Linked DNA regions of Arabidopsis thaliana. The protein of the gene in region 1 binds, or shares a complex with, the protein of each later gene. Each region holds a gene or a part of one and is shown in the gene's direction. Other genes may lie near its edges.

What was found.
Region 2: AT1G55750 (region 1) and GTF2H2 share a complex: the UniProt entries of both Arabidopsis thaliana proteins name them as parts of the 7-subunit TFIIH core complex.
Region 3: AT1G55750 (region 1) and AT4G17020 share a complex: the UniProt entries of both Arabidopsis thaliana proteins name them as parts of the 7-subunit TFIIH core complex.

What each region holds. Positions count from the first base shown.
Region 1 is NC_003070.9:20,839,855-20,847,498, reverse strand, and holds AT1G55750 (BSD domain (BTF2-like transcription factors, Synapse-associated proteins and DOS2-like proteins)), read left to right. Parts: upstream 1-1,599; 5' UTR 1,600-1,634; intron 1,635-1,903; 5' UTR 1,904-2,363; coding exon 2,364-2,444; intron 2,445-2,530; coding exon 2,531-2,609; intron 2,610-2,738; coding exon 2,739-2,800; intron 2,801-2,907; coding exon 2,908-2,971; intron 2,972-3,070; coding exon 3,071-3,185; intron 3,186-3,279; coding exon 3,280-3,355; intron 3,356-3,434; coding exon 3,435-3,530; intron 3,531-3,746; coding exon 3,747-3,791; intron 3,792-4,139; coding exon 4,140-4,196; intron 4,197-4,295; coding exon 4,296-4,451; intron 4,452-4,548; coding exon 4,549-4,614; intron 4,615-5,115; coding exon 5,116-5,239; intron 5,240-5,388; coding exon 5,389-5,445; intron 5,446-5,529; coding exon 5,530-5,657; intron 5,658-5,741; coding exon 5,742-5,915; intron 5,916-6,009; coding exon 6,010-6,123; coding exon of another isoform or gene 6,124-6,177; exon of another isoform or gene 6,178-6,237; coding exon 6,238-6,315; coding exon of another isoform or gene 6,316-6,378; exon of another isoform or gene 6,379-6,476; and 7 more. Other genes in the region: AT1G55760 (BTB/POZ domain-containing protein), read left to right, coding at 1-382; AT1G55755 (uncharacterized protein), read right to left, coding at 231-366, 1,333-1,384. UniProt on the Arabidopsis thaliana protein: Component of the general transcription and DNA repair factor IIH (TFIIH) core complex, which is involved in general and transcription-coupled nucleotide excision repair (NER) of damaged DNA and, when complexed to CAK, in RNA transcription by RNA polymerase II.
Region 2 is NC_003070.9:1,448,106-1,452,800, reverse strand, and holds GTF2H2 (general transcription factor II H2), read left to right. Parts: upstream 1-1,899; 5' UTR 1,900-1,948; coding exon 1,949-2,224; intron 2,225-2,626; coding exon 2,627-3,088; intron 3,089-3,185; coding exon 3,186-3,564; intron 3,565-3,739; coding exon 3,740-3,888; 3' UTR 3,889-4,170; downstream 4,171-4,695. Other genes in the region: AT1G05060 (coiled-coil protein), read left to right, coding at 1-292, 382-506, 1,045-1,136, 1,264-1,350, 1,439-1,546; AT1G05040 (UBA-like domain protein), read left to right, coding at 4,353-4,660. UniProt on the Arabidopsis thaliana protein: Component of the general transcription and DNA repair factor IIH (TFIIH) core complex, which is involved in general and transcription-coupled nucleotide excision repair (NER) of damaged DNA and, when complexed to CAK, in RNA transcription by RNA polymerase II.
Region 3 is NC_003075.7:9,577,350-9,583,326, reverse strand, and holds AT4G17020 (transcription factor-like protein), read left to right. Parts: upstream 1-1,887; 5' UTR 1,888-2,244; coding exon 2,245-2,357; intron 2,358-2,427; coding exon 2,428-2,595; intron 2,596-2,850; coding exon 2,851-2,919; intron 2,920-3,013; coding exon 3,014-3,107; intron 3,108-3,226; coding exon 3,227-3,327; intron 3,328-3,408; coding exon 3,409-3,454; intron 3,455-3,528; coding exon 3,529-3,588; intron 3,589-3,667; coding exon 3,668-3,736; intron 3,737-3,848; coding exon 3,849-3,932; intron 3,933-4,054; coding exon 4,055-4,138; intron 4,139-4,234; coding exon 4,235-4,320; intron 4,321-4,410; coding exon 4,411-4,501; intron 4,502-4,654; coding exon 4,655-4,735; intron 4,736-4,873; coding exon 4,874-4,948; intron 4,949-5,037; coding exon 5,038-5,171; coding exon of another isoform or gene 5,172-5,175; exon of another isoform or gene 5,176-5,260; coding exon 5,261-5,354; coding exon of another isoform or gene 5,355-5,388; 3' UTR 5,389-5,452; downstream 5,453-5,977. Other genes in the region: EXLB1 (expansin-like B1), read left to right, coding at 146-278, 625-734, 866-1,177, 1,313-1,510; AT4G17010 (transcription factor IIIB), read right to left, coding at 5,700-5,954. UniProt on the Arabidopsis thaliana protein: Component of the general transcription and DNA repair factor IIH (TFIIH) core complex, which is involved in general and transcription-coupled nucleotide excision repair (NER) of damaged DNA and, when complexed to CAK, in RNA transcription by RNA polymerase II.

The sequences.
Region 1 (7,644 bases):
AGAAATAAACGTACTCGACATGCCACTTGATGCTTGCCAAGCTTTTCTCAGTTATATCTACGGCAATATCCAAAACGAAGACTTTCTTATACACAGATTGGCACTCCTCCAAGCAGCTGAGAAATATGATATTGCTGATTTAAAAGAGGCGTGCCACTTGAGTCTTCTAGACGATATCGACACAAAGAATGTGCTTGAGAGGCTACAGAATGCTTATCTCTATCAATTACCTGAACTGAAGGCTAGCTGCATGAGATATCTTGTGAAGTTTGGCAAAATATTTGAGATCCGAGACGAGTTCAACATATTCATGCAATGCGCAGACAGAGATTTGATTTCTGAAATCTTCCACGAAGTCCTCAGTACCTGGAAAGGATTTTAGGGGAAATCAGAAAGGGTATGTGTGCTATAATTATACAAAATACATTTATGGACACTGATTTTTTGTGCAAAAGGATTTGTTGGTCTTTATGTACAGATTAAAGTATTGGGGGTTTTAACTCAAAACCCAAGTATTGTCCTTACAAGGATAAGACAGCAACATGTAAATTCATGATTTGATTGAATGTGAGCTTCTTAGCTTGAACTTTGAATTGTTAATCTATAACACTAATATAGTTTTCTGAACTTTTAAAGTAAAATCTACAATCATCTTTTAGCAATTTTACCCGATTCATGATACTAAAGTTATACCAAGCTAAAAAGCTAAACATACATATCCTCCCATGATCTGTAATCTTCCCTAGTTTATTGTAATGGTGACAGATGTTAAAACATATCATGCTACAAGCAAATTCAACAGGAATGGTTCAGTAGTTTCAGAGAATCAACCAACTAGTTTCTTAGCTAATATGAAAAATTCAAAACAGAGGAATATATACATTCTTCTACTCTAAGACTAGAATCTGTGCTACATACCAATGTGAGTACTACATGGTTTACAGAAACCAAATCTCCGGAAAAAAAAAAATCAGAAAACAACTCCCTGAAACTGAATCAATAGCTACATAAGCGATTTCAGATCGTCTTCAATGGAAACAAAATCAGACTCTAAGACCTCTGAGATCCGCCACAATGCCGGAAAACTAAGAGGAAATTACATAGAAACGAACTCGAATCAGGAAATCTCTGTGACTGCCAAATAATCAGAAACTAGAATGTCGCACGAATCTGATATATGGAATGGATGGTGTTCATGCGTAGGAAAAATCAAAGTGAAAAAGAAGAATCAGACAAGTAAACCGATATGGGTCTAATAGAATCGCAAAATGAAAACGACGAAAACAACAAAATGGAATTTCCTTGCAGAAGAAACTTACCTTCGACAGCTACCTATCACCACCACCATCGCCTTCTTCATCTTCGAATCTGAGATTCGCTTCATCTCTTCCTCCAATTTTGAAGAGAGGGAATATTGTTCTTCATAAGATGCTGGAAAATGAAGATTTTTTTTCAATTATTTTTTCCCGGCAAACGAACTACGTCAATAATGGGCCTTATTAGTGGCCCAAAATATTAAAGACGTCGTTTCATTCTGTAATAAATAGATCCCTAATCAAAAAAACCTCCCAAATTTCGAACTCAAAACTCTTTCTACGTCTACCTTCTTCTTCTTCAGCCGTCGACATCCTCTAGTAAGCCAGCTACTCTTTTCTTCTTCTGTACAGTAATCAGCTTCAATTCTATAGAGCTTTCAAAAAAAATCTATCGTTTGAAGCTTTATCTGGTTTGTGGTCTTTTTTTGTCGATGTCAATTTAGTTGATAAATGCACAAATATGTATCTTTTCTTCTTTTCTGTGTCTATCCTCATTATTGATTTATACTAGAGATTACAGAATTTGGTACATATTGATTATAGTCGTGAGACTATCATAATTTAAGGTGTTGTATGCTATTTTACAGGTTTGAATTTAGTCATTGAAGGTGTTAAAGTCCATGGCAGAGTCTATTCAATCCGCAACTGAAACCGAGCCTATGACGGTTAAGCCATTGAACTTTGAAGGCTCATGAAATGTCTGATGGGAAAGTTCAGTTTAGAGAAGTAGCCGTTCCACCGAACCGGTACTCTCCTCTCAAGAAAGCTTGGTCGGATATCTACACACCGGTCTTTGATCAGATGAAAATCGACATAAGGATGAATCTTACATTTTGATGCCCCTAATTAGTTTTGACTTTTTGTTCATTTTATCACATGACCAATCATAATGGGCCGTAGCAGTTTAATTCGGGTCAGTAAGTTGGGTCATGATTCGGGTCGGATACTTATTCCCGTTCTATAGTATAAACCTAGATTCCAATTTCGCTTGATTTCCGATGAATTGATCGACTGGAAAACAGAGAACCACCGTTTCTACAGTTGGATATGGCTGGTGGGCAAATAGAGAAGCTAGTCAAATACAAGAGCACTGTCAAGGATCCAGGAACTCCTGGATTTCTCAGAATTGTATGAAGATTACACTTTTCGCTCTTATTTGAGTTATATTATCTCTCAGCTTAACTGTTTCTTTTGCAAAATCGAAAAATTTGCAGAGAGAAGGGATGTTGCTCTTCGTCCCTAATGATCCCAAATCAGATTCTAAGCTCAAAGTACTTACTCAGAACATCAAAAGTATTGTTTGTACCTTTTCTCATTAACATTGCTTATTGGATAATAGATGTTGTGTTGATAAACGATTTCAGTTATGATGATAGCTGCATAGTCATTATCAAATTTCACTGTGTTTGTTCAATCTCTCAGGTCAAAAATATACCAAAGAAGGATCAAATAAACCTCCTTGGCTCAATCTCACCAACAAGCAGGTTTTTTCTGTTGACATTTTTTGATTAAAGCTATGATACATTATAGATATGTGAATTTTGAAGCTATATCTCTGTGTTCATTGAGGTTTCCTCATCCTTGATTGTAGGCAAAGAGTCATATCTTTGAGTTTGAAAATTATCCCGACATGCATGCTTGCCGTGATTTCATCAGTAACCTCCATGTCCCTTGGTTTGCTTTTATTGATTGGGAAAGTATTTCTCTTGTTTTCTTTCGTGGTGTTTCTGTAACCTCTTTTTTACTATAAACAGCTAAGGCCCTTGCTAAATGTGAATTGGAGCCTAATAAATCCGTTGTCTCGACATCTTCCGAGCAACTCAGTATTAAGGAATTGGAGCTGCGCTTCAAGCTTCTGAGAGAAAATAGGTATGTAATTGGAACATTAAGTTGCCTTTTTGGGTTCAAAGTTTCATTGGCTCATCAAGTTCCTTCTAATATGAGTAACATACGTGATTTAAAGTGAGCTGCAGAGATTGCATAAGCAATTTGTGGAAAGTAAAGTACTGACTGAAGATGAATTCTGGGCTACAAGAAAGGTTGGTTCTTTGTTTGATTTTTTTAAAAATTTTGTTCTCTTCAATGTCTTCATAGTTACCGACTTTATTCTGGCTGCAGAAATTACTTGGTAAAGATTCCATCAGAAAGTCAAAACAGCAGCTCGGGCTTAAGAGCATGATGGTTTCTGGCATCAAACCATCTACTGATGGGCGGGTATGGTATAGTTATCTCAACTCCTTTCTGGCAGTTAGTACAGCCAATTTAGTTAGCATTTTCATGTGCCTGCTTTTGTAGGAAAGAAACAATGCATCTATATGACCATACACTGATGTGTTCGACTGAATTACATTCATATGTTGATATATATCATATTATCATGTGACATCTCTGCTGGTTTACTAACCACTTTCTTCATTTTTCTTCTTTCAGACTAATAGAGTGACGTTTAACTTGACACCTGAGATAATTTTTCAGGTGAGCTCTTTGGTTCACTATGTTTGTCATTAGTGTAACTGCTCTATCAGTTTCTGAATCCCTCCAAGGTCGTCATCATAAGTTTTTTATATGTTATGGGGTTGAAGTTGCAGCTAGTGATATATTGGGTCAGAAATCCATTGTTAGGTGTTCAGGTTGCATCATGTGCTTGAACTTCTAGTCCAATCTGAAACTACAAATGAGGAATATAAACTTTTTTAACAGTCTTTCACCCACATTCTATCTTGTGCTTGCTTAGCCAGTAAATCCATTGCAAGTAACTTAAATGTTACTTTCGTAACTGCTACAGTCCTTTTCTTACTTATGTTTTCTTCATTACGCTTTCAGATTTTTGCTGAGAAGCCAGCTGTTCGGCAGGCATTCATCAATTATGTTCCGAGTAAGGTAACAAAGACCAGCTCACTGTGACCATCTTTGTTTATAAGGTTAACCCTCAAATACGACGAATCTTAACTGGCTTTGGTAGTTATTTTCCTACGCCAGATGACAGAAAAAGACTTCTGGACAAAATATTTTAGAGCAGAATATCTTTACAGCACCAAAAATACAGCAGTAGCTGCAGCAGAAGCTGCTGAGGACGAGGAACTCGCTGTCTTTCTGAAGCCTGATGAGATATTGGCTCGGGAAACTCGTCACAAGGTTAGGTTTCTTCTATGGTTTAATCATTTATCATATATTTTGTTTGAAAAGAAAATATTTGTGGCATATCCATCTGATTTAAATGTCATCTCTGTAGATTAGACGGGTTGATCCAACTCTTGACATGGAGGCTGACCAGGGAGACGACTACACTCATCTTATGGTAAGTCAACTACCACTGCATGTGAAAGGTTTGGATAATTTCCAAATTGCGCAACAATGGTTGTTGAAAGGAAAGTTCAATGCTCAGTTAACACTGTACAGATTCACACATAGAATAAGTCTTTCATCGAGGTTTGTAGTGTTGATGTTTACGTATTGTCTATCCCTAGTAGAAATAGTATGGGAAGAACTGGGATAATACTAACGGTGTTAAGAATCAAACCTGTACCAATGTGTGTCACTTGTTTCTTTCTTCTAGAATTCTCAGCGAACCTAATTTGAATTGTTAAATCAGGAATTTAGTTTCTTTCAAATAACTCTGAATTAGTGCTTTTGCTTTTTCACAAGACCACTACTTTAATATTAGCATGTGTGAGAAGGAGCTCAAAACTGATATCTAGAAAATATTAATCTTAACATTGACATTGTGCTCTTTGTATGCGGTTGAAACGTTATTTTCAATACACTTTATCGTACTTAATATAACTTTCCCATAACACAGGACCACGGGATCCAGCGTGATGGCACCATGGATGTTGTTGAACCACAAAATGATCAGTTTAAACGATCACTTTTGCAAGATCTTAATCGTCATGCTGCTGTTGTATTGGAAGGCAGAAGCATTGGTAAACACCTCTAAGAACCTCATTTGAATCTTTTTATCTGAATATTTTATAACAGTAGATAGTTCAGGAAGTGTAAACATTTATGTTGGCCTTTTGACTTTAGTTCTTGGTGGTAAATATACAATAATATTCCTGTAATTGGAAAGCAGATGTTGAGTCAGAAGATACAAGGATTGTTGCAGAGGCTCTCACACGGGTTAAACAAGGTATGATGTTTCATTCTGCTAAACAATGCCACGCTTTTTATTCATCTGACCTTGCTATCCATCTCTATTTTACACCCCTGTTAGTAAGCAAAGCTGATGGTGAAACCACCAAGGACGCTAATCAGGAGAGATTGGAAAGAATGTCCCGGGTAGCAGGAATGGAGGATCTTCAAGCACCACAAAATTTCCCATTGGCGCCGCTTTCTATCAAGGTTTGGCTTTCTGCCAATATAAGGTTTTCACAATTGATGATGGATGCTGCGTTAATCCGCTTACCCTTTCTTCTTTGGAATCAGGATCCTCGTGATTACTTTGAATCTCAACAAGGAAACGTCCTCAATGTACCCAGAGGAGCAAAGGGCTTGAAGAGAAATGTCCATGAAGCTTATGGATTACTAAAGGAATCCATTTTAGAGATTAGAGCTACAGGATTAAGTGATCCGTTGATTAAGCCTGAAGTTTCTTTCGAGGTGCTATTCTGTCACATAATAAAAAGTGTGCTGACAAAAGAAATCATTACTTATTGCTTTGTTGCCTGAGCTAAAAATTGCTAACCCTATTCAGGTTTTCAGTTCGTTAACCCGAACCATTGCAACTGCTAAAAATATTAATGGGAAGAACCCACGAGAGAGCTTTCTGGACAGATTACCAAAGTCCACTAAGGATGAAGTTCTACACGTAAGTCCGACATTTTCCAGTGTCCTAAGTGACAAGAAGCTCTATATGTACTAGTTAGTGAAGATTAGGTAGTAATGCATATGGATAAGAGGACTTTTCTTCTTTCATCTACAGCATTGGACATCAATACAAGAATTACTGAAACATTTTTGGTCATCTTATCCGATAACAACCACATATCTTCATACCAAGGTAATGTTATTGCAATTTTCAAATCTCCCAGTCCCAGAAATTGCTATATATATTGATTCCTAGGCTTTCACGGGAAATTTAATCTTATTATACACCAAGAGCAAGTTATTATACCAAATATTTTTCGTCGATTCTTGTGATGTTATATTATTATCATGCAGGTTGGTAAACTGAAGGATGCAATGTCCAATACATATTCAAAACTTGAGGTAAGCTTTGAAATTCTTCATCTTTCTGACAGAATAAGCAACTGATAGTAAATCTGCTATGTTAAAACAGTAGTTCCTAATCATACCAATGCGTTTACGAAAATGAAATTTTTGGGTAAATAAAATTGATGCAGTATTGTAGTCGAATCTTATTTGCATATATATGGTCAACTGTACGGTTTCCTTGATATTAAACTCCATGTAACTCAGGCAATGAAAGAGTCGGTGCAATCTGATCTCCGGCATCAGGTTTCTCTACTGGTTCGTCCAATGCAACAGGTTAGCTTCTTCCAATATCTACGGAAGAGTTTTATACTTTTATTACATCATGTCTCGGTTAAGTCTATATTTTCCACTCATATTGCATCTATATCCAGTTTCTACAGCCTTGCATTGTAATCCGGTTTGAAAATTGATCTTAATCGGTTTTCTCTGCTAGGCTCTTGACGCTGCGTTCCATCACTACGAAGTGGATCTGCAGAGAAGAACAGCTAAGAGCGGCGAAAGACCAAACGGCTACGTATAGAGGACAAAAAAACTAAAACTAAAAAGCTTTGCAAGATCTTTGAATTGTTTCATCAGCCTTGGTTGGTGTTTTTGAAAATCTTCATTTGTCCCTTTTTGTCCGACCATTGAGATACAAAAATGCGTTTATATTGTAGTAATATTTTCTTTTCTTTTTTTTGTTAATTAGGCGTTATATTGTTAACTGCGAGAGACAACAAAGAGATTTTCTCGATCTGAACATTTTTAAGTTTGCAATGTATTAGTAAATTCTCTACAGGCTTTGAGGACGTTACTACAGCTCCAAGAAAGCTCTCAGTGCCATAATTGTTTGGTTATTTGGTTACTGGTGAATATTTATAATAATGGGACAATAATAGAGAAAATGCTTCGATGGCGTAGTAGATTTCAATGTTTGAATCGCATCAAACAACAATCCAAATTAGAAATATATAAAATTCAACATAAAACTTTTTTTGACATAGCATTCATGGATAACTTTTGATTTGAATGATTAATTTACTCATTGTGAGGAAAAAAATAAAAACAGATAAAGTTACTCATTGCTTGTCATATTGACATGACATACAAAATTCAAGCTCCATAAGTAAAGCTA
Region 2 (4,695 bases), about 19 Mb from region 1:
AATCCAAACACGCCGTTAATCGTCTCGCCGAGAAATCTCCGGCCACTGGCAAAAAGCTTCCATCTTCTCCGCCGGATCCACCGGAAATTCAACCTGACGTTCTTCCGGAGATTCTACGCCATTCTCTTCCTTCCAAAATATATGGTCGTCCTCCTGATCCTTCGTCTCTCTCCCAATTCTCCAAATGGGCTCTTGAATCTGACCCGAACGCAACAGTTTCTATATCCCCTGATGTCTTGAATCCTCTCAGAGGTTATGTGTCTCTGCCACAAGTCACTTTCGGCCGTAGAAGGTTCAAATTAGGGTTTTATACTCTGTTTCACTTGATGAGTATTTCAAAATTTTGGATTTGTTGTTAATTTGTGTCGATTTTTATTGCAGATGGGATTTACCGGAATCTGAGAATTCGGTTTTGGCGTCAACAGCTAATGAATTGAGGAGAGACAGATACGGCACTCCTGTAAATCCTGAGAAATTGAAAGCTGCTGGTGAAGGGCTTCAACATAGTATGATCACTTCTCTTCTTTTGTTTATCTGCAAATCAAATCTTTTTGAACGTGGATAATTGGATTTATGGATACAGTTACCTACAGAGGAACATGACTAGATTTGGGTTGTTTGCTAGAGATAGAAGGATTGCTATCTTTACGTGTTCTGTTTTCACTTCCTTGCTTTTGTTAATGTTGATCATGTAAATTGCTTGCCCAAACTTGTCTATTTTACCTTGTTAGGGACTGCAATGGCAGTAATTCTGAAAGGTTTCAGCTTACTAGAGAAAACTTTGGTTTGTTTGGTTATGAAAGCCAAGATTTTCCGTGGCTGAGGGTTCATGAGTGTCTAATGTAACAACTGCTTTCTGGTTGTCTCTTTTTGACTCTGATGACAAATAATCTAAGTATCTCTCTCACAGCCTAGAAATTGTTGATAATATTGCTTAGATTGAGATTCTGTTATTGTCTTTTGTCTTTTAATGTTAATTGATGTCGTGAAGTGTTCGGAAAGTTTGCCTAATCTCGAGCCCTCTGATTTTTCTGGTTTCTGCAGTTGGAAAAGCATTTGCAGCCGCTACTATTATCATCTTTGGTTCAGCCACTTTGGTTTTTGGAACGGCAGCCTCGAAACTTGACATGCGTAATGTAAGATTGCATATGTTTCCATTTTCTTACTTAAATCATTTAGATTAGCATTTCTAAGCATTATTGACTGATCTTGAATGCCATCATCGCCTTACTTGGTTTTATTGTATGATTTTCGTTCTGTTAGGCTGATGACATAAGAACGAAAGGCAAAGATCTTTTTCAGCCAAAACTGGAGTCGATGAAGGAACAAGTAGAGCCCTTAAGAACTTGGGTAATGTTTTACAAAGATACTTGCATCTTCTCAACTGAAGTGGATCATAATCATTAATAGACTAACCCGAAAAGACCATAAATTTCAGGCTGAAAACATGTCGAAGAAGTGGCATATTGAGAATGAAGGTGGTAATACTATCAAGGAGAAACCAATCTTGAAGGAGCTTTCGAAAATTCTGGGACCTAAATCTTAAAAGGCCAAGACCTTTGGTTAATGTGTAACCATGTGGATAGAGAAAGTCAAAGAAGAAGTTCTATATGTTTGTAAGATTCAATAAGATCTTAGGTAAATTATCATATTGTGCTGTAAGAACTAAGAAGTTTCAATGTTGCTGTATAAAGGTTGTATCGAGTGATTTAAGTTTTGTATAATAAAGTTTTTATGAGTTTCAATATCAATGTTTCCTATTGTGTAAGCAAAATAAAATGTTTCACTTCTGATTGGACATGGATTGGTGGGTTAAATATACAGAATAGGAAGTTACAGTCAAAATTGTGAACGTTATAATAAGTAAGGGTTGTTTATGTAAATTTTGGCTTCAGTAGAGTTCTCTTCTTCTTTTTGTAATTAGGTCTCTTAGACGGTGAGGTTAACGATGAGTAATCAAAGAAAGAGATCAAACGATGAAAGAGAAGAAGAGGACGACGAAGATGCGGAAGGTATCGGCGAGTGGGAGAGAGCTTATGTTGACGACCGATCCTGGGAGGAGTTGCAAGAGGATGAGTCTGGACTTTTACGGCCAATTGATAACAGTGCCATTTACCATGCTCAGTATCGCCGCCGTCTTCGTATGCTCTCCGCCGCTGCTGCTGGTACTCGTATCCAAAAGGGACTTATTCGATATCTCTACATCGTCATTGACTTCTCTCGGGTAAATATTTTTCTTTGCAATCCGCCGCTGCTGCTGCTGATTTTGTGATTTTTAGCTTCAATGCCGTTTCCTTTGAGTTTGATGGCGTGAAATTGAGCTTATGTTGCTTTCATCAGAGCTTATATAAAAGAGAAACTATGCACTTTGGGTCACTGATAAGTAACTTTAATGTAATCGTCGTTCTAGTTTTGGAGATCTCTGCTCTTTAGTCTTCTCAATAGGTTCTATAATTGGCTCTGTATTGTTTGCAATGATAATCTTACTCTAAGTGGGTTTGTAGAGCTTAAGGATGTGATCCTTATTCAGATTCTTTATTGAAGGCAACATTATGATTTGGGTTCAAATTTCTCTAGTTCCAAGGTATGCAAAGTCTTACACTTTGGACTGTTTTGTCGTGTCTAGGCAGCTGCGGAAATGGATTTCAGACCAAGCCGGATGGCTATAATGGCCAAACATGTCGAAGCTTTCATTAGAGAGTTCTTTGACCAGAATCCTCTGAGTCAAATTGGGTTGGTCTCTATAAAAAATGGAGTTGCGCATACATTAACAGATCTTGGTGGTAGTCCTGAGACTCACATCAAAGCGTTGATGGGGAAGTTGGAAGCTTTGGGTGACTCCTCTTTGCAGAACGCTCTGGAACTTGTACATGAGCATCTCAACCAGGTTCCATCTTATGGTCACCGCGAGGTTCTGATATTGTACTCAGCTTTATGCACATGTGATCCAGGCGATATCATGGAGACCATTCAAAAATGCAAGAAATCCAAATTAAGATGTTCTGTAATTGGGCTCTCTGCAGAAATGTTCATATGTAAACACCTCTGCCAGGAAACTGGCGGATTGTATTCAGTTGCAGTGGACGAGGTGAGTTTAGCTACCTTCTACTTACACTTGGACCTTTGAAAAACTTGTTTTGTATGGTATAACATTGTGCTTTGTGTGTATTTGTCTTTTCACGCAGGTGCATCTAAAGGATCTTCTGCTTGAACATGCGCCTCCACCTCCGGCAATAGCAGAATTTGCAATTGCAAATTTGATCAAGATGGGTTTCCCACAAAGAGCTGCTGAGGGTTCAATGGCGATTTGTTCGTGTCATAAGGAAGTTAAGATTGGAGCTGGTTACATGTGCCCAAGATGCAAAGCTCGGGTATGTGACCTCCCTACGGAATGCACTATCTGCGGTCTAACACTTGTTTCTTCGCCGCATTTGGCGAGATCATACCATCATCTCTTCCCGATTGCTCCATTTGATGAGGTGCCTGCACTTTCAAGTCTGAATGATAATCGGAGAAAATTGGGAAAGAGTTGTTTTGGTTGCCAACAGAGCCTAATTGGTGCAGGTAACTACTTGAACACCATTTTATAGAGTCTTAATACTGTTGGTTGAATAACCATTTGGTCACTAGACCAGTAGTTGAACTTAAGATACGGTTCACCCTTGTCATAGTATATACAAAGTAACCGATCCATTCACTCAAATATAAAGGCTCATTGGTGCTTTTGTTTTTTGCTTAGGGAATAAACCCGTCCCATGCGTAACATGTCGTAAATGCAAGCACTATTTCTGTCTGGACTGTGACATATACATCCACGAGAGCTTACACAACTGTCCTGGCTGTGAGAGCATTCACCGTCCCAAATCAGTTTCTTTGATGGAAGAATGAGAGAATGAATGTGTTCACACTTCCAATTATAAATCACAATTGAGATGATGAGAGGAAGCAATTTTTTTTGTGATATAGGATGTTGTAATTGGTCTTATGTCCTTAACCAAAATCTTTCTTCTTTTGTGGACTCTATTGCTCTCTCACAATTGATCCAAAACAAACCGACTCAAATTTTCAGAGATAGCATTCTTAATTGTTTGATTTTCTATTTAACTTGGGCTTGAAATTTCTTCACTCATGAGAAAACGAACAGTAGTAATAAAGAATTATTTCGGTGGTAAACAAAAGGAGACCGTATCATCAGTTGTTTGTTGATACTGTCATGACAAGGTCGCAACTACTTCCCTAAATATCTCTCTGTTTGTTAGAAGCTTTTATATTAGATCTAAGTGAAACAATTCTTAGTGATTGTCATAAGTAAACAACGTACTTAATCTTTGAGAAAAGTCCCTAACACCACCATGAAGGAAGAAGATACTAACGTCACTAGGTTCTGCAAGGCAACGTCTGCGTGTAAAGATGCAGCATTCTACTACCTTGAAGGATTCGACTGGAATCTCGAAGACGCCATCTCTGGTTTCCTCGGTGATCAACTTCCTCCGCTCAAAATAAGAGCGACTCCACGGAGGGTGAATGAATGGCGAGAGCGATCTCGATCTCCTTTAAGAAGAAGATACTCTACTACCTCTGTCTCGGAATTTACGCTGAAGATGCGCCAAGATGAGATAACCATAACGAAAAGCTCTGATACGGGTGCTTTGGCCACCAGGTGGGTGATTTAATAATATTAAGGGCTCGGTAATC
Region 3 (5,977 bases), on another chromosome or scaffold:
AGCTATAAATACCCTACTAAGTCTCTCATCTATCTTCACTATCTTTTGTGATAAGAAATTCTATTATCAATTCCTATCATTTGTTAAGAAAAAGAGTTAGAAGTATTAATAATCTTACAATATTTATAGATAAGATAACAACAATATGAAGCATTCTCACGTTTTGCTTCTTCTATTTGTTCAAGTCATTGTCCTTTTGCCTCTCCTTTGTCTATCCGACGATTTTGTTAACTCTAGAGCTACTTATTATGGCAGCCCCGATTGCAAAGCAAATCCTCGTACGTATTAAAATTGTTATTGCTATATACATCGTGTACCTTAATTCTTTTTCATTTTCTTAGTTGTTGTATAGACTTGTACACGTTATATATTGGTAAAAGATACATTGGTGTAATATCTCACTATAAGCCATAACTAATTATTTTTGTTTTATATCTACGTATAGGTTTCTTGTTTTGTTTTATTTTGAAGGTTTATTCAAATTCTAAATACATATATGATTGAAAACGAGTCCACTAAGTGTCCATTAACTGCGTAATTAGTAATGATAACTTTCCATTATGAGAATATACATAATATTTGTCGAAAGAATAAGAATAATTAATTAATTTTTTGATGATGCAGGGGGACATTGTGGGTATGGAGAATTTGGAAGAGATATCAATAACGGTGAAGTGAGTGGTGTTTCATGGCGACTATGGAACAATGGAACTGGCTGTGGTGCTTGTTACCAGGTTATTATATATAGTTATCTACTTATCTCAATCAATATTTCATCAAATATTATTATAGTATATGCTATGTCATTAATTACTAAACTTATATTATGAAAGAAAAAAAAACTTATTTTATGAATTATAAAAAGGTGAGGTGCAAGATACCACCACACTGCAGTGAGGAAGGAGTATACGTAGTGGCTACGGACTCCGGAGAAGGAGATGGCACGGACTTCATCTTAAGCCCTAAGGCGTACGGACGTATGGCGCGACCCGGCACAGAAAATCAGCTCTACTCCTTCGGTGTAGTCAACGTTGAGTACCAAAGGATCCCTTGCCGATACGCAGGGTATAATCTGGTGTATAAGATCCATGAGAAAAGCTACAATCCTCATTATCTTGCCATCCTTGTCTTGTACGTTGGTGGTGTTAATGACATCCTCGCCGTTGAAGTCTGGCAGGTAAATTTAATCAAAGATGTTGAGAAACTTAGATATATGTTTTTGAGGATCAAAATATATAGTTTACTCTTAGATGATTTTGTGAAACAAAGTTAAACGTTATTATATGGTATGCATGTATATGTATGATTTTAGGAGGATTGCAAAGAGTGGAGACGTATGAGAAGAGTGTTTGGAGCGGTTCATGATTTGCAGAATCCACCTAGAGGCACTCTCACATTGAGGTTCTTAGTCTACGGAAGCGCAGGAATCAATTGGATCCAATCGCCAAACGCTATTCCCGCTGATTGGACTGCCGGAGCCACCTACGACTCCAACATTCTACTTACTTAATTGATTCACTTTTCATCAGTGTGTTTTTATCATATAGTATTTATTATGGTTTCTGTATGCAATGGCTAATATATTTAAATAATGCCCTCTAGGACAATATAATTAATGATGATAATATAAATAATCGTAGTAGATTCATATATAATTTATGTATTGTGTCTCACTAAGAAGATTGTAATGGTTTGTATGAGTTTGATTTTGATGGAATAAATCAGTACTAATCAATTTATCAGATGATGATCAAACGTTTCGTAAGCTTTTTTTGTTTACATTTTGGTCAGTCAAGCATATATCTCTCCCTAATCAACCATTTTCATGAAAACAAATTGGCGCGATTTTTGTTATATAGATAGGCCCATTAGTAGTATTCACAAGGCCCATTAAAACTTAATTTATCTTGGCCATCCTCTTCGATCGATTTCGTCAGTTTTCTTTGATTCTGGGTAGTAAATAATCGGGATCAATTGTAGAAGAGCTCATCGAGAAAAGAGAGAACCTAAACTTTAAATTCAATTCTGTATTGTTCTCAAACTCGAACCCGAAACTTTAAATCCTTCCTTATTTGTTTTCTGGAGTTCTTGTTTAGAACTGTTTTGGATTTGTTTTTTTTGAGGAGATGCTTTAGTTAACTAGGTTTGCTTCGAGCTGATCGCTGTGTGGCATAAACCCTAATTTCGTGGAAACTGTGCTCTTTTAGAACCGGTCCAGTGAGTAAGGGAATCCAATTGGTGAAGATGCCGCAAGTTAAGATCATTGCTAAAAATTTCATGGACATGGTGGCGTCACTTCCAGCCATCAAGCTTGACAAACTCTACAACAATGTCTTTATCTGCGAAGCCATTCTCAGGTTAATTTATGTGTCTATGTTGTTGAATTTTGAAAAAATTGAGGATCTTACATTCTTAAGATGGTGTCAGGTCTTTGCCGCCTCTTGCCAAGAAGTATGTATTGCAGATGTTGTACATTGATGTTCCTGTACCTGCTACGATGATGGAGGAGTGGGTGCTCGCAGATGGCACCTCTAAACATAGAGTTGCTATTGATCGACTGATTCAATTAAGGATTTTTTCAGAAATTAGTGATAGGTATGCATTCTTGCTTTATTCTTGATACTGTCATGATTTGACTTATTTCAGTTAGTTCAATACTTCTGTCTATTCACGTTGGAGGGTTTATTTGATATATTTATTTAAAAGAGTGATGGTGGATGTTAACTTGAGCATTGAACCCTATGAGCTTCATCTTATACTTCAATTTACTGTGTTTGGATTGATTATGATTGTATGTGGCAAGATGATAGTTCAGATTTAGTTCTTAAGCTGCTCTTCGTACTTTTGCAGGAAAAGGGGAACCAGCTACAGCCTAAATCCTACATTTCAGAACAATCTTCAGAAACATATTATTTCCGGGTAAAGACATCTTTACATTGACGGTACTCTCCTTTTTCGTTTTTTCTCTAGGCTTTTGGAGAAGATGCTGATGAGCTAAATTTGAATTTTGCAGTGGAGTTTTGCCTAGAGAGCCTATGAACTCCGACAATGCCATTAAACTTCCAAGCCTACAAGAACTCGAAACCTATGCACTTAAGCAATGGGAGGTGTGTGTATTTCCTAATTTCTTATTGATAATACTAGTAAGGTGGAAGTAATTTGTAAAACAAATATCTTTTAATATGAACTTGGTTAGTATCTGATGATGTGTACTTATGTTTGTCAGTGTTTCTTGCTACAACTTATAAATTCGGGTCAAGGTGAAAAACTAACTGGCATCAGTTCATCCATGATGAAAATTTTTCAGCGAGGTTTATTGAGTCAGAGGTAATGTTTTCATACACGTCTATAGATGCATAGTGGTGGCATATAGCCTCCCTATTTGATACACTTCATGTAATATTGCAGAGACAAAGATGGCCCGAGATTAACTGAGAGTGGCTTTCAGTTTTTGGTATGCAAATCGTGAGTCAGTGGTCTATAATTACCTGTATTCATGTAAGTAACCTGATTGACCTCAATTTTCAGCTGATGGATACAAATGCCCAGCTTTGGTACATTATTCGAGAATACATATTGAATGCCGAGGTTTGTATTATTCCTAAGGTTTTGTGAAATTGATATCTCTATTTCGCCGAATGGATAACCCAATGCCAGTGTTTCTCAGGAGCGAGATGTAGATCCAGCAGACTTGATTTCGTTTTTGTTGGAGCTTAGTTTTCATGTTACTGGTCAGGTATAACAGAACTTCACAAAAAAGTCATTTCAAGCGTTCTTGTTCTTGTTTTTACTCTTACTTGATTTAGCGGGATGCTTGTTAATTATTTCGGTGAGCTTACACATTGCAGGCATATAACTTAAATACCTTGACAGAGGTTCAAAACAATACCCTCAAGGACCTTGCAGACTTGGGATTAGTCAAGCTTCAACAGGTTAGACTTAGACCATTTGTAATATTTTTTTTATTACCAAATATCAAAAGAAAAAAAACTTTGCTAAAGTTATGATTATAGAACTATATCACATGCTGAGCCAGTCTTTATGATTATTGAAGGGAAGGAAAGACAGTTGGTTTATTCCTACTAAACTGGCTACAAATTTATCAGTCAGTCTGGCAGATTCATCAGCGCGAAAAGAGGTCACACCTTTTTTATTCCCCTCTTGTCCCATATCTACCTGCTACCAACAATTTTCTTGATTTTGTGTATCGCTGTTGTTTGTTGTTCCTCATCAGGGATTTGTCGTGATGGAAACAAACTTCAGAATGTATGCGTACTCCACATCTAAGTTACAGTGTGAAATTTTACGACTATTTGCGAGGTAGAAGCTCCTGAACATCGACCTGAAACTTTACTCTTCTGTGTCTTAAAATCCTTTAGGTCTAAGTAGTTGGTGCTTCATTATTTCCAGGATAGAGTACCAACTTCCAAACCTTATTGCTTGTGCCATTACAAAGGAAAGTTTGTACAATGCATTTGACAATGGCATCACATCAGATCAGGTACAGTTGGTTTCAGTTGAAAAACATTTTGAAGTTATCGAATACATGATTTTGCCCGGATCCTCACTGTCCTTGAAATGTTGATCAAATTGTTGATGCGTCTCTTTATAGTTTCTGAATAAATATTTTTTCCTTTTCTTTTGATTGTCACAGATTATAACTTTCCTCCAGCAGAATTCTCATCCACGATGTGCTGATCGAGTCCCATCTATTCCAGAAAATGTCACTGATCAGGTTTATACTCTCTATGCCCATCAAGTGTCGATTATACAAAAATGTGTATAGGATTGGTTTATAGAATTGAAAGTGTATACTATCTCTACGTCCTGATTCATCAGGCTTATGTTGAATAAAAATGCATTGTTCTGGCAGATTCGGCTTTGGGAGACAGATCTGCAGAGAATTGAGATGACCCAGGCTCACTTCTATGATGAATTTCCTTCAAAAGTAACAAACCTGAACCCTCTTATTATTTTCTCTTCTCCATAACGCAAAACCGTTATAGTAAATCTCATTAACCAAAATCATGTTAGCAGGATGTGTTTGAGGCAGCTTGTGACTTTGCTCGGGAATGGAGAGGCCTTCTTTGGGAAGACTCTAAGAGAATGCGACTTGTTGTGAAATCCGAAGTTCACAATCAGATGCGTGAGTTTCTTCATACCCAAAGCAGGTAACAAGAAGAAACTCACATTTTCTTCTCGTATTAAAACAAAACATCATGCTTCGATTCTACAAACTATGTCTTTCGTGAGGTTTCAGCAGAAAGAGAAAAAAGAGTAGCCATTTGATGTCTTGTTACTCTATTAGTTACCATCGTTTTTATCCTGCTAACACATGCGCACCCCAAACGTAGGAAAAGTACTTGGTGTTGGTACCCACGAAGTTGAAAGTTGAAACCTTTAAGCTGTAAGACCGATCCATTGTAAATCACAATATACTTTATTAGGCGAAGTTAAGTTTGAAACAACATATATTGACAAAACGTGGTCGTTGGGGATGGTCCAACCAGGGTCACCTCTATAATTTCTTGTACGCTAGACAGAACACAATCTCGGTTTTGATTCTATTCAGTTGACCAAATTTCAAAATTATTAAAACCTCAGCAAATGCGAGGCTACAATCTCAGTTTAATCAACTAAGAGGATGTATTCAGAGACGCTGAATCTATTCTGTGTCAACATGAAGACAAGATCTGACTTCATTTTGCTTGAGATTTTTCGTTGGCTGAGGACTCTGAATCCTGGATCTTATCTCCCATGTTTGCATCTGTAGTCACATTTGCATTTCCACGTGCCCGAGCGAGTTTCTCAGCTTCTTCAATCTTTCGTATAGCTTCCTGTTGTGTTGCGTTCATCATTGTCCCCATCGTTTTCTTCTCTCCTTCGAGCTGAATTTCCATTATGGTACTAGCATGCTTGTCTATCGGTTTGAAGTAGTCTTCAATTTGAGCCTCCTGTATTGGTAAAAGACCCAAAA